Arabidopsis thaliana: one gene and its partners. The protein of the gene in region 1 interacts with the protein of each later gene in a pairwise test. Each region holds a gene or a part of one and is shown on either strand. Other genes may lie near its edges.

Evidence for each region. The genes of interacting proteins can lie anywhere in the genome.
Region 2: the proteins of AT5G03545 (region 1) and PHF1 interact in a protein complementation assay, tested with the Arabidopsis thaliana proteins (one large-scale study listed by BioGRID).
Region 3: the proteins of AT5G03545 (region 1) and BIL4 interact in a protein complementation assay, tested with the Arabidopsis thaliana proteins (one large-scale study listed by BioGRID).

The regions. Positions count from the first base shown.
Region 1 is NC_003076.8:892,515-896,087, reverse strand, and holds AT5G03545 (expressed in response to phosphate starvation protein), read right to left. Parts: upstream 1,507-3,573; 5' UTR 1,042-1,506; coding exon 829-1,041; 3' UTR 571-828; downstream 1-570. Other genes in the region: AT5G03550 (MATH domain/coiled-coil protein), read left to right, coding at 1-275; EXO70A1 (exocyst subunit exo70 family protein A1), read right to left, coding at 2,172-2,289, 2,388-2,534, 2,627-2,727, 2,817-2,916, 3,018-3,218, 3,337-3,542.
Region 2 is NC_003074.8:19,353,270-19,359,363, forward strand, and holds PHF1 (phosphate transporter traffic facilitator1), read right to left. Parts: upstream 3,993-6,094; 5' UTR 3,642-3,992; coding exon 3,450-3,641; intron 3,194-3,449; coding exon 3,093-3,193; intron 2,608-3,092; coding exon 2,475-2,607; intron 2,395-2,474; coding exon 2,303-2,394; intron 2,107-2,302; coding exon 2,007-2,106; intron 1,791-2,006; coding exon 1,718-1,790; intron 1,633-1,717; coding exon 1,512-1,632; intron 1,424-1,511; coding exon 1,304-1,423; intron 1,208-1,303; coding exon 1,137-1,207; intron 1,042-1,136; coding exon 848-1,041; 3' UTR 598-847; downstream 1-597. Other genes in the region: SEX4 (dual specificity protein phosphatase (DsPTP1) family protein), read right to left, coding at 1-58, 165-190. UniProt on the Arabidopsis thaliana protein: Involved in Pi uptake by facilitating the trafficking of PHT1-1/PHT1;1 from the endoplasmic reticulum to the plasma membrane.
Region 3 is NC_003074.8:23,387,121-23,390,971, reverse strand, and holds BIL4 (Bax inhibitor-1 family protein), read left to right. Parts: upstream 1-1,933; 5' UTR 1,934-2,089; coding exon 2,090-2,330; intron 2,331-2,407; coding exon 2,408-2,521; intron 2,522-2,592; coding exon 2,593-2,750; intron 2,751-2,827; coding exon 2,828-3,034; 3' UTR 3,035-3,254; downstream 3,255-3,851. Other genes in the region: AT3G63320 (Protein phosphatase 2C family protein), read left to right, coding at 1-53, 134-275, 380-641, 741-1,134; FKD1 (FORKED 1), read right to left, coding at 3,347-3,576, 3,689-3,796.

The DNA.
Region 1 (3,573 bases):
CCGAAGCAGAATTGAGCAAAGCTTCAAAGGATATGTGTGATCTGACACAAGCCGGTTTTAACCTGGATTGGTTGCAGTCAAAGCTTGACATGGTTTCCTTGGAGAAGAAGACTTCTGAAGAACGGATTCTGGAACTCAAACTAGAGGTCAAGAAACTCGTGATGACTGCGACTGATCTCAATAGTGAGAGGAAAAAGGAGAAGAAGAAGTTGAAGAAGCAACCAAGCTGGATACACGCAACAAAAGATGGGCGACTATATTTTAATTTTTTCTAAAACACTTTAGAATAACATAATGGTTATTTAGGGTTATCTAATCTTTTTTTTTTTTTAATATTATTATTATGGATTGTTTATCTAGAAACAATAATCATGTATTATTCGGAAAAAAACATAATTAGATACCCCTACGTTTTCTGTAGTAGGTTTTCTAGTTTGTTTTACTTTATACGACTTTTTATTTAATAGCTTGTCAGACACGGTTTGATTAGGGCTCTCTTGGGTTTCTTCATAGATGCTCATATTAGAAGAATGAATGTGTTTAAATTTACCCGATTTCAATTGGCTAAAACTGGACTATTAATGGGCTAAGAATGGGCCAGCTTAAAAGTATTTTTGATAAAGGTATACACAGATTGCTAAAACAAAATTGTTTGAAGACACTCACTATTAATGAAAGGTAGAAGTGGGGTTTGATTTTAGATATCAAAACCGAATATTCTTTTATTCCTCACACACACATAGGAACACACCTGAATGGTGCATCACACGGGATAACAACAACACACATTCAACACAAACATGACGAAATTAAAGACAATAAACCAAACTAAACCGGAAACAAAGTAAACACGGAACATAAACATATAAGAGCTATAGTAATCATAATCTGCTGATTCCGAGGGGAACCGAAGCTTGCCAAAGGATCGAAGTTGCCCAAACGAGGGATAACAAAAGACACATCAAGCTTGTCTTCATCAACCTTCATGCAATCTTCATCGCTCCATTCACACACAATCCTCATCATCATCATCATCACCATATTGATAATTATGATATTGGATAATGATGATGATGATGATGATGATCATTTACACAACACCCACACACGAACATTCACAATCATAATCTCCAAGAGATCTCTTCTTCTTCTTACCTTTTGTGAGTACTCTTGTGTTTGGGGCCATCCCATAAAGAGAAACTTGAACCTCTCAAAACCCTTTATTGGTGAGATCTTCTGATAGATTCAGAGGGTTCTTGAGCTTCAGTTTCTTTAGGGGATGGCCATATTTTGTGTGTTTGGTGTTGTGCCAAAGAGAGTTTCAACAATGGATGTTGTTAGGGTTTTTATGGCTTCTCTCTTTGTCTTTGGTCATGGAGACAAATTATACAAGAGGTTGAATACACTCATTACATCGATTCAAATTATCATTTTTTTATATTATTTTGGGAAAAAAGTGGAAGGAGATGATGGAAATGGGGAAGTCCATGTAAAGATGTTGGGAGAATTTGGATCTTCTAAAAGGAATATGCCAATTACCAAACATGTGTGTTTTAAAACAACAAAACCATCTCATCACTCTTTATTTTACTAATAAATCATATTTCTTTCATTTAAGTATGCAAGTCGGTAGAGCTCTATCTGTCTTGTTCTGTTCAATAACAACTGATTAATCACCTAAAATCCATTAAGAAAATAACAGAATTGATCCGCATGACAATCTTGTCCCCAAGCTTAGTTCAGCTGTTCGGACAAATATTATTGGCTCGATCTTTAGTACCAAAGCTCGTCTCAAAGCAATTGTCAATCATATCAACTTATAACTTAGCTCCTTCACTGCATATTTTTTTTTATAAATTACGCCTAGGATTTTGATTTCCGATTAATTTCATTCTAAGAAAAAAGATTTCATATCCTTGTGAGTTGAGATTAGACTTATTAGGCCATGGTTATTTCAAAACGTTTAACGTATACAAAAGGAAACAACTCTGTCTCCAAGTAATTTACACATTCTCATTCCAACCAAAGAATAGTAGAATACAAAAAACGAAAAGTTGACACTGCATATACAATAGCAACGAACCTAGTTATGTAAGGTAAGCCAAAAAAAAGAAGAGTTTGATAGAAATTTACCTTACACAATTAGTTTTCATCATCTTTTAGTTGTTTTTTTACCGGCGTGGTTCATTCATAGACTTTCCTTCAAACAACTCACCCAACAATCTTTCAAGATCTTCAGCTGTATACTTTATGTATTTCTGAGGATTCTTCCCACTCTCAACCAAAGGCCTGCATCGATCATAGGTTAAAATCTCATTTAGGTTTTTTTACATTTCAATCAAATATTAGAAAAGCCTTCGCAGTAAAGAGAGAAAGGAGATTTTTACCCAAAGCGTTTGAGGAATGATCTATAAGCAGGCAATAATACTTCAGCAACAGCAAGTCTTAGTGACTCTCTTAACTCTGTGTCTGGAACTGTCCATTGCGATTGTCTCTGATGCAACTCATCAAACTGCATATTGAACATCTTGAACCTGTTCCATTTTTTTTTTACAGATTTATCATCATTACCAAATATATAAACATTTGCCAATTACTGTGTTTATTTTACATGTTTAGGACTTACCTCTCTTTTAATAATCCTCTTGAAACTCCACTGCTGTTTCCTCCCTCTAAACTTCCTCCCCCAGATGAGGTCAAACCTTGCGCCGATGAGCTTTGTAGTATCTACAAAATATGTAACAGTTTCTTAGTAACAATTTAATGAAATTTTATATAATAGTGTTTCTTTACAGAGTTAGACAAATAGACAGAACCTTTGTCCAGGCAACTCTTTTGTATTGGTTTGCATGTTGCTGCACGATACGCCTATGTCTTTGAACCCAATCATCGCCTAACAAATCCTTGGCTTCTGACCTGAAAAATTATCATATGAATAAAGCTAAATGAGTGCGTTCTTTTATTTTTTTAATAAAACCAGATCAGCCTTTAAAGTTTAAACGAGAAAAATAATATACCTGCGCACAGATCTGACCATGTAATGAATGTTGTTCATCAGGAACAAGTGTGTCAATGCAGGATCTTTGTACTGTTTCGATTTTCCGTCCAAGTTGTTTTGAAGCGCCTGCATTATCCGCATCGTTACGGATGCTAGCTGCGAATTTGAGTCATCTCCATTTCCAAATTCCAAGAAAAGTTGCTTCAATGTTGTTTGGTAGCTGACACCAATGATCATCAATTAAAGCGTGGAAAGGGACAATACGCAAATAGCAGTATGGAGAAGAACAATACGCAAATAGTTCGAGGAAATAAGTTGAGTATATATGATGTACTTACTCGAATAAAAACTTGACATAATTGATGACATAGCTTGTTAGTGGGTGGACAGTTCCATCTAGAACAGCAGTCTTTGTAGCATCTTTCTCAACAGCTTCTTCAAAATCACCAAATGTTTCCTGAGCAGTTTGCGCCAACCGCTTTGTCAAGCCCGTCGCAGAATCTCTAATTTCGAGGCATGCTTTCCCTTTGAAAATTGTCTCAATCTGTCCATGGACACAAATTTCATGAGATTGT
Region 2 (6,094 bases), on another chromosome or scaffold:
AGAAGAAGAATGATCTCTTTGAATGCACCCGAATCCCAGCAGAGGTGAGACTGAACATCTGAAATAAATGACGATCAAAGACATCAACAACACACAAATTCATATCGAATCAAAGAACCACACAAATCAACAACATTTGCTAATTTCGGAAAGCAAGAAGATACCTGGGAAGATTCTGAAGACAATTCATCTTTAGAGAGAGACAGAGAGTGTAGAAAAATATCAGAGGAAGCAAACGAAGCTGCTACTTTCTCAGTCCCAAGTTCGACGATAGATAAAAAATCTGGTAATTATAATAATTTTCAATTCATGTCCAAAAATGTTTGTGAGTGTGACTCTGACGGTCACGCGACTCACGACGATACAATTGGGACCCCACGGTCTGCACCGGGAATGCAATCACTTTTGTTTGTTACGTAAAGTGGAACACATTACTAGAAAAAGTCTCCAACTTTCCACAATAACAAAAACACCCTCTTCACAAAACTAATATCTGCTGCCACATCAGCACCGTCAATATTGAATTGGGTTATTCTGTCTAATTATTTTTGTTAGAGGTTACTTCATGAAGATAAAAAGTGAGAGGTTCTATTTTTATATTTCTCAAGAGCTAATGGGACCACTCATATGACGCCATCACGTCTCTTATTGTTACAAAAGATCTTCTCTGCAATTTTAATAATATTTTCAGCACAAGTAATTAGCAACAGTAATTGTCTGTAAATAAATCAATTAATCAACAGGTATTTGTCAGAGCAAAATCAGAAGAAAGGAAAAAAACAAAAAAAAACGCTGCAACAAGATAAGGAAGAAAGAAGAAAAAGCAGAGGAAAGTTACATAATCTTTCTATAGGTCCAAGTTCCACCTACTATGATCCTCAGAAGGCGTGGAGGAGGAACCTCCAAATAGACTAATCTTTGGTCTTTTTTGATCTTTTCCCATTGGTAACTTCCAAAACGAATCTGAGTTCTCGAAGAATACGTATGCAGCTATCACTGATGCCATGAACAAGCAAAACAGCAGTGCATATATCTGCCACTCTGCACATCAAACAAATAGATAATAGTGAGAAACAAATGTATAAACCCCAAATATGTGCCATTCATATTTTCAGAGAAAGAGATTAGCAACAAACCTTTCCACTCCTTTGGTACAGTGAGTTTGGTCACCATCTCTCCCCATTCGCTAGAAGTTGTCAGCATAACCCTAGAAAGAACCAATTAGATAAAGATCAACATTAGAAACAATGCGGAGACATAAGGGTTTTGATTTATCATTATCCTTTCAATTGCTTCCCCATACCTTTCACTGGGGCAGAACTCAAGTGAAGCAATGGATTGACCAAGATGCAGCCTCTTACTGTAGTGGTAGATTTCCATTGTCTTAACTTCAGCAACAGATACATCTCCATCTTTCCCACCCCTACAAAAATAGGTGCAAAGTATGAGGTTTTATGTACAATCACACAAGCCTGATAGTGATAAGCAGCCCGGGATGAAGAAAGACTCACAAAGCAATATATTTCCCGTCCAAGCTCACTGCCATTGTCGATGCAGTCTTCCTTGACAGCTTCTTGAACCCAAGCTTCTTCCATGTACTAATGTCATAAACATTGACCATAGGCGTATCACCTGATTCCAATAGTTTAAGCTTTCATATGATGTTTTTAATTTGAAATACTAGTGATGTTACTCGAGAGTCGGATATATTATATACCTCTTTGAGCAGCACAAAACAAAAAAGGTTTTGTTCCGTCTTTAGAGAAACGGCACAGTTCAATATTTTCATCCTGCAGACATGACAATATCAGAATCAGTCAGGATATATCAGAAGCCAATATAGGAAACACGACAGAGACAAAATCGAGACCGAGAAATCTCAGAACTATATTTATTGGAAAAGATCATAGACATGGAAACTCATCCTTCATACAAATTTCACTGGATCTTATTAGTTTAGAAATATAGGAATGCTAATGCAAACTTTAACTCTCACAATCACATACCCCACTACGTTCCAAAGTAGACAAAGGAAAACCATCTTCTGCTTTCCATATTCTAGCTGATCCATCAGTTGATGTTGTAGCTAAGAACTCTGAGTCAAGACTACAAAAAAATATACAAATATGAGAAAGATGCACACAATGGGTTTCGTTTCACAATCTCCATTAATTACTATTTGTGTTGTATAACCCAATTCTCAGCTCTATACAGAAGACCATTTTTTACTACCTCAATTACAGTTTTGCATTACAAATAATATAAAAGGGGGGATGGTGGTTGAGAAGATTCCAGTATTTACCTAAAATCCATGTCCCGGATGGATTTGTGTGCCTTTGGCTCATCCAAAATTACACTTAGGTTTGGCCACTCCATAATTCTAAGACATCCATCCTGAAAATAACTTGTAGTAAGCTACAACTAAATTGTCGCAACAGTGAAAGAAAAAAATCCCTTATATTGCAGTTCCTTACCACTCCCCCAACAGCTAATTTAGACCCATCAAAGCTGAAGGCCATACACTTTTGTAGTCCAGCATTTTGGAGAGGAAGGAGTTCTTTGGCTAAGATCGTAATACCTGTTGCTCCTCCGACAAGCTCAAATAACCTGAAAACCAAATAAAGTTTTAATTACCATCTAGACCGTAAAACAAAATTTGTATAGACAATGGGGTAGACAGTGTCCAAAAATGGTTGAAGACAACTCCTCGTATCCATGAAATAAGTGGAATAGTAGAGTTGCTAAAGATGAATGCAAGAAAGGGAAGTCAAAATATTATGAAAGAGACCAATTATAAAAGGCATCGGCAATCTCCAACAAAAGTATAGGCATATATAAAATAAACCAAACCTTAAACACAAGAAATTCAAGCCTCACTACAATTAATTCTACATCAGCAAACATGGGAGGTGGGAGATCGTCTGATGTAATGAGAGAAGTAATGTAAAGTTCTAGTAATCTGATATCTAGTTCTCATCATAGGTTTAACAATACCAACTCAACAAATTTAGAAACATAGTATCAGAGGAAGGAACTGTAGGATGTCTAGTAATCATAAGTTTTGGGTGGTAAAAGCAGAGATAGAAACGTACTTGCAACCACCTTTGGAGGTTGAGCAAACAAAGTAATCCCCACCAGGGTGCACTGAAACAGCCACAGGATCACCATCACTATCCTTAAGCGTGTGTGTTGCCTTTGGTCAAAGAAAAAAGAGAAAAAAGGTTGGTTTTTTTATTTCATTAGTCCACAGAAGTAAACACCAAAAGAAAGGGGCTTTGCTCTGCTTTCTCAGAATCAGAAGAAAACAACTTGAAGAACCCTAGATTTATTGCATGATTCAGAAGAACCCAAGTTTCGCAATCCAAAGAACTATAGTAGATTTCACCCTAAACCCAATAAGATTTCGAAGCTCTCGATTGAAAAATTCAAAAGGTGTAAGAAAAATTTACCAAAGGAGAGGAGGAAAGAGAAGCAGTAATGGGGTCAAAAGAGAAGATGTTGAGGAGAGCAGGAGAAGAAACAGATGAGCCACGGCGTTTGGAAGCTTTAGCGATAAGAACCCAGTTTACTTTCTTCGGGCGACGAATCCATGATCCGCACACAACATGTCCACTTTCACGACTCGCTTCTTCAATCTCCATTCGTTGTTGGATTGATTGTTATTAATTTCCTCTTTGGTCTCTCCCTAATTTGGATCCTTAATATATATATAGACAGAAAATTGTTTTTTTTTGTGTGTGTGTGTAGTTGTTGTTCCAGAGTAGAGAAGAGGAAAACAGAAAGTAAAACAAAAACCAAAAAGGAGTTGACTTTGGAAATTGGACAGAGAGATTTTGTTGAGTTATTATATAATGGGATTGAAAAATCTCAGATTTAACAAACGGACATTTGCGGTGGTGGGAAAGGATATTCCTTAAGATCCATGTTCCGATGCCGAATTTAATACAAACAAGTTAGGTCACATCGTGCTTCCGTAATCTATAGCAGACTTTCCCATTGGTGTCAATCTCGTTGTTTAAAAAAAAAAGTAATATTAGAAAAGATTGAACGTAATCTGAATATTAAGAAAAAGGATAAATATGAAAAGATATGATGTAAATATGTAATCGATGCATACTCTTAATTATGCAATGTAATTCTTTTTTTGTGACATTAATACATTATATATCCTTTATCTTATAAAACACAAGTCACTTGGCAAATCATGTTTTGACATGTGGCAAATTTATCAAAAACAAAATCCACAATGTAAAACAAAAATGAATTTTTCGACAAAACTCAAAATAAAATTAAATGTGAAAACAGTGTACAAAATTAAAACATTATCGTCAATTTTCCCACGATCACTCTCAAAAGAAAATAAAAATCAACCCACATATTCTCCATACTCCCACAATTTCTTTTTCTTCTATTCAAACTATGTAACTCTTTTTTTTCAATTAAAACATTCAAACTAACTATTGGGAAACAAAGACAGATACGATCTCAAACCTATATATACAAATCTCGGTATCATCTTTCTATTGTTGATATTGGTTTTTAAAAGAAGGTTGAGAGTAAAATCATTTAGGAGCGAGACCTTCTTTGTAACAAGAGTCTTCAATCTCTAATCAGTTCATATAAGGCAATATGGCCAGCGTATGTTATATTTCTTTTATTTTATTGATTGCGTTTAGATGAGTATATTAATGCTTTCTGTTTTTGAATTATCTTTTATTATGTATGTTTAATATCTTTTTGCTTCATAGATCAACCACTAAAAATAAACAAGCAAACTTGATCGATAGAGGATAAAACACAAACAAAGTAGAAGACTTGAGCAAGAAAAACACCAATGGCAAAGTAGTAGGAGGTTGAAGACGAAGTAGAAGTGTACAACATTAAGACATAAATGATATCATCTATGTATTGAGTCAACTTCACTCTGGTAACTTTTTTTTGTCTATGACTATAATCTATGTTTGTATTGAGTCTTTGAATACCATATGTAATTTTTTATTTTATAGCTTTTGTATGTATTCTAGAAAGCATTGAAGTTGGAAGCTAATTCTCTATATTTGGAAGACTAATAATTTTGTGATATCAACTTCAATTCTCCATTATATATCAAATTATCATCTGAAAAAATAAAATCCACAAATACATGAAACGATATATTTTTCCCTACACGATTATATACTAATCTATTTATAAAATTAATTTTTCATGTATAAATATCGATAATATGTAACATATCATAACATTTAAATTCAAAAAAAGAATGTATCATAACATTAATTTTCGGTGCTATGCACCGGGTATAATACTAGTTACAAATAAAGTATAAAAGGAATTAAACTTTTATATAGATAATTAACACAAACAAAATATTAGAGACGATTTCAAATAAATTATGAGGATATAGATGAGAAAAATACTATATAGAATAACAATAGTAAGAAATTAAAAATAAATAAATCAATTTGTACATATAAATTAGAAAGAAAAATATAGATAAATAATTAAACAATATTAATAGTATCACATAGGTCAATTAAAATTTTATATACAATAGTTAAAGAGTATTATATCTCAAAACTAAGTTTTGATACTGCGTAGAACAAATCATGTTTCAAGCAAAAATGATCAAATTCCTATGATGCTGGAAATGCTTGACGATCCACATGAGACTGGCTATGTGCATGTATGGAGAAAAACGTGTTGTTCGACAACGCGTGCATGCCTTCTTCCACCTAAGTGACGACGCATCACAAAAAGTTATCTAGTAGTGTTAATAGTTCATGTTCCATCTGCCGAAATTACACACAATATAACGTATTCGATTATTTGTTATCCAACAACTTAAACGATTCGACCAACTCACTCAACCTTTTGTCACTAGTTCCAGTCATATATTTCTTATAAATACTCGTTCACTACATCTGTACAGATCGAAAGAATCTCTTGATATATTACAACACACCCATAATTCATAAAGACTAGCTCATATACCTTTGATATATGAGATTTGATCTATATGTCGTTCTCCTTAACTAGATATCGCTAATTGGGCTTGCATTCAACAAGCAACATATATCGCTTATTACATTCGACG
Region 3 (3,851 bases), on another chromosome or scaffold:
TGAAAGAAGCCTTGCTCAGAGCTATCTACGACATTGATGCAACATTTACTAAGGTGTGGTGCATGGCCTTCTACTCTATCATTTGGACCGTTGTTTTTTCAGTAGCGTGATTAGACTCTGTTGTTTAATGCAGGAAGCATCTACTCGAAAGTTGGATTCAGGTTCAACGGCCACAATTGCACTTATCGCAGATGGTCAACTACTGGTTGCTAGCATCGGTGATTCTAAGGCACTTTTGTGTTCTGAAAGATATGAGACTCCTGAAGAGGCTAAAGGTTCCCGCAGCATCCCTTTTTAGACTATAACCAACCTTGTGAAGCCACTAAGAGTATAGGGGAATGAATGAACGTTTTGTTCTTTTGGTGTTTGCTTATTGCAGCTACTTTAATAAAGTTGTACAGAGAGCGTAAGCGCAATCAAGACTCTTCCCCATCAAGGTTCTCTGATTTAAAGCTGGAACATCGCACTGGACTCATGCGTTTTATTGCCAAAGAATTGACAAAGGACCATCACCCAGATAGAGAGGATGAAATGCTCCGAGTGAAAGCTGCAGGAGGTTATGTCACCAAGTGGGCCGGTGTGCCAAGGGTGAATGGTCAGCTGGCTGTCTCCCGTTCGATTGGTGACCTTACTTATAGAAGGTTGGCACTGCTGGTTGTATCCTAGAATCTCTCTGGAACACGATTCTAGCTGGTTTACACTATGAGAAGTTGAAATGTGAGTTTTGATATCTCTTTCAGTTACGGTGTCATCTCTGCACCTGAGGTGATGGACTGGCAGCCTCTAGTGGCTAATGACAGCTACTTGGTAGTGTCATCTGATGGTATCTTTGAGAAGTTAGAGGTGCAAGATGCATGCGATCGCCTGTGGGAAGTAAAGAATCAAACTAGCTTTGGAGCAGGAGTGCCTTCATATTGCTCAATATCTTTGGCAGACTGCTTGGTTAATACTGCCTTTGAGAAGGGAAGTATGGATAATATGGCTGCAGTCGTGGTTCCTCTAAAATCCAATCTAGATTGGGAGAGCCAACCAAAAGAGCAATCTGTGGGTCCTTCGGGATTCAAGATGAAGAATACATATGCACTGCCATGTGAGTTTCTCTCATCACAACCCAACTTATTCCGTATGGGATGAAGAGTGATCTTTCATTTCTAAATATATCTGTTTTTCAACAGATGGAACTTTTAATCCATTGCAATTGAAGCAGACTCAACCACTTTCAACCATGTTTAACGAGTTATTGGTATGTTCCCACCAAGACATTACCATACAAATGCCCAAGGAAAGTGTACAAGTACTTTATAATAAAATGAGTCAACCTTGGTATTGTAGGTTGAAGAAGAAAACAGCAGCTATTATAAACTTAATGGTACCTTTGCATCATATGGGTGACTTACTTACTGGTAGCCTCTTCCGAGTCATTATTCTCTGGTAAGTGAAGTGACTGACTAGTATCACCTCGTTGCAATCTTGTTTAATGTTTTATCTTTTTCTTTCTGGTTCTGTATACTGCACTAACATTCAATCACAACTCATACCTTGTAGGTGCAACTAATTTTTCAACAAGGACCAATTTTTGTGTATTCTGTTTTCTACCATCTAATTCGTTAGTTTTTGGTCTAGCCATAATTGTTTTGTTTGTAAATTGAAAATTGGAACAAAGTATAAGAACAATTATAATAATTCAAAGTACAAGTGGGTGTGTATATGTGGACGAAAAATGTGAAGAAAGTTGTTGAAATGGTTTTTAATTGGCACAATCATTTGTGGCAAAATCCAACCAATGATGTGAAAAATAAATCAAATCCAATGGAAATGGGCTGTAGAAATGAGTGCATCATTAACGTTGTTTCTCCTCTTCAGAGGCCGGCCCACTGAATAATCTTAATTCCAGGTGTCAAGATCGGAGCCGTCTGATTATATTATTTAATTGCGGGACGTATCGGGAAGGTTCTTCTCTTGGCCGCCTCTCTCGGAGTCTATTACTTCTTCTTCTTCTTCAAGGAGGAATCGGGATCGTCCTCACATCTCATTCGCATTTTGCTGAAGACTTCTCACCGGCGTTGACAAAAAAAAACGAATCCGGAAGATGTGGAATCAGAAGCATGATTTGGAGTCGGCTCAGACGCCTCTCTACCCGATGATGTCGGAGAGCCCGGAGCTCCGATGGTCTTTCATCCGCAAGGTCTATTCCATCATCTCCATCCAGCTGCTCGTTACAATCGCCGTCGCTGCCACCGTCGTTAAGGTTCATTCTATTTCTGTATTCTTCACCACCACCACCGCCGGCTTCGCTCTCTACATACTTCTTATATTGACTCCATTGATCGGTACGGTACTCCTTGGATTCTATCTCTCCATCATCTCCGGCTCTTTGATCTGCTTTCTCGTTTTTGTGTGTGTGCAGTTATGTGTCCTTTGTATTACTATCACCAGAAGCACCCTGTGAACTATCTGTTACTCGGGATTTTCACCGTCGCTCTTGCCTTTGCGGTTGGCTTGACCTGCGCCTTTACAAGCGGTATGTATGATCCAGTTGAACGATTCTGTTTTCTCCTTATTCTTTCCCTAACGTGTTTTGTTTGATTACAGGGAAGGTGATTCTGGAATCTGTGATTTTGACCGCTGTTGTGGTCATATCCCTCACTCTATACACTTTCTGGGCGGCCAAAAGAGGCCATGACTTCAACTTCCTCGGACCTTTCTTGTTCGGTGCTGTCATTGTCCTCATGGTGTTTTCCTTCATCCAGGTATCAATATCGCTCACAAGGCTTCAATGTTCTCTTCTTCCACAATAAGAGCTTAAATACTATCTTTATTGCTGCAGATTCTCTTCCCTTTAGGAAAGATCTCTGTGATGATCTATGGTTGTTTGGCATCCATCATCTTCTGTGGCTACATTGTATATGATACCGACAACTTGATCAAGAGGCACTCCTATGACGAGTACATCTGGGCTGCTGTTTCTCTTTATTTGGATGTCATTAATCTCTTCCTATCTCTCCTCACTCTCTTAAGGGCTGTTGATAGTTAGGCAGTCTTGTCTCTTTCAGATTGCTCTTAAGACTGTGCCATTGTTATCTAGTTCATATGTTCAAATTCTTTTGTCTGCAAAAGGAAATTTGGGTTGTAAAGAAATGTTGATCACTGCTTGTAACATGATAGGAGAATCCAATACATTTGTACTTGTGAAGGTTGTTGTTAGCTTTAGAAGTCATCTCTGTTCACTCAATTGAATAAAAGGATATTACAAAAGGGAATGTCTTCTACTCCATTATGTTTAAACCTATTCTTATCATAAGCAGTTCGTTCTACAAAGCATCTACTTCTTTCCTAGCTTATGTTGTTAAGGTGCCATCCATTTGGACATGGAACTTTTCTGCTTCTTCTCAGCAGCAATGGCAAGTAGCCTGGATACGCCCTGAGTCCATATCTCGTATTCCCTTTGGTTTCTGCACTCAAATTCAATGACCCTCTTTGTTTCTGTCTTTAAGCCAAAGTAGTGATGCTTGTCTCCGTTGAAAAGATCTCTGCCAGCCCATGCAGGTATATCCTTTCTCACTTCAAGCACCATATCTGCAACACAAGTCCAAATCAAAGACTATTATGACTTGTATTATCTATCTAGCTTTACTTTAAAAGCCAGGCTAGTGTAAGAGATGAAATGTTTGTGCTGAGAAGAACCTACGTTTCTTCTTCTTTGTGAAGGTCCCTCCAACGTGTTTACTTTTCATTTTCAGCACAGCTTGGCCTGCTTTGTTGATGTAGACAGAGACAATCTTCCAGTGGAGTTCACCTGCTTTCAAAATTCAAGGTCAGCGACCCTTGCTTTTTACTTGGCTTACAAATCA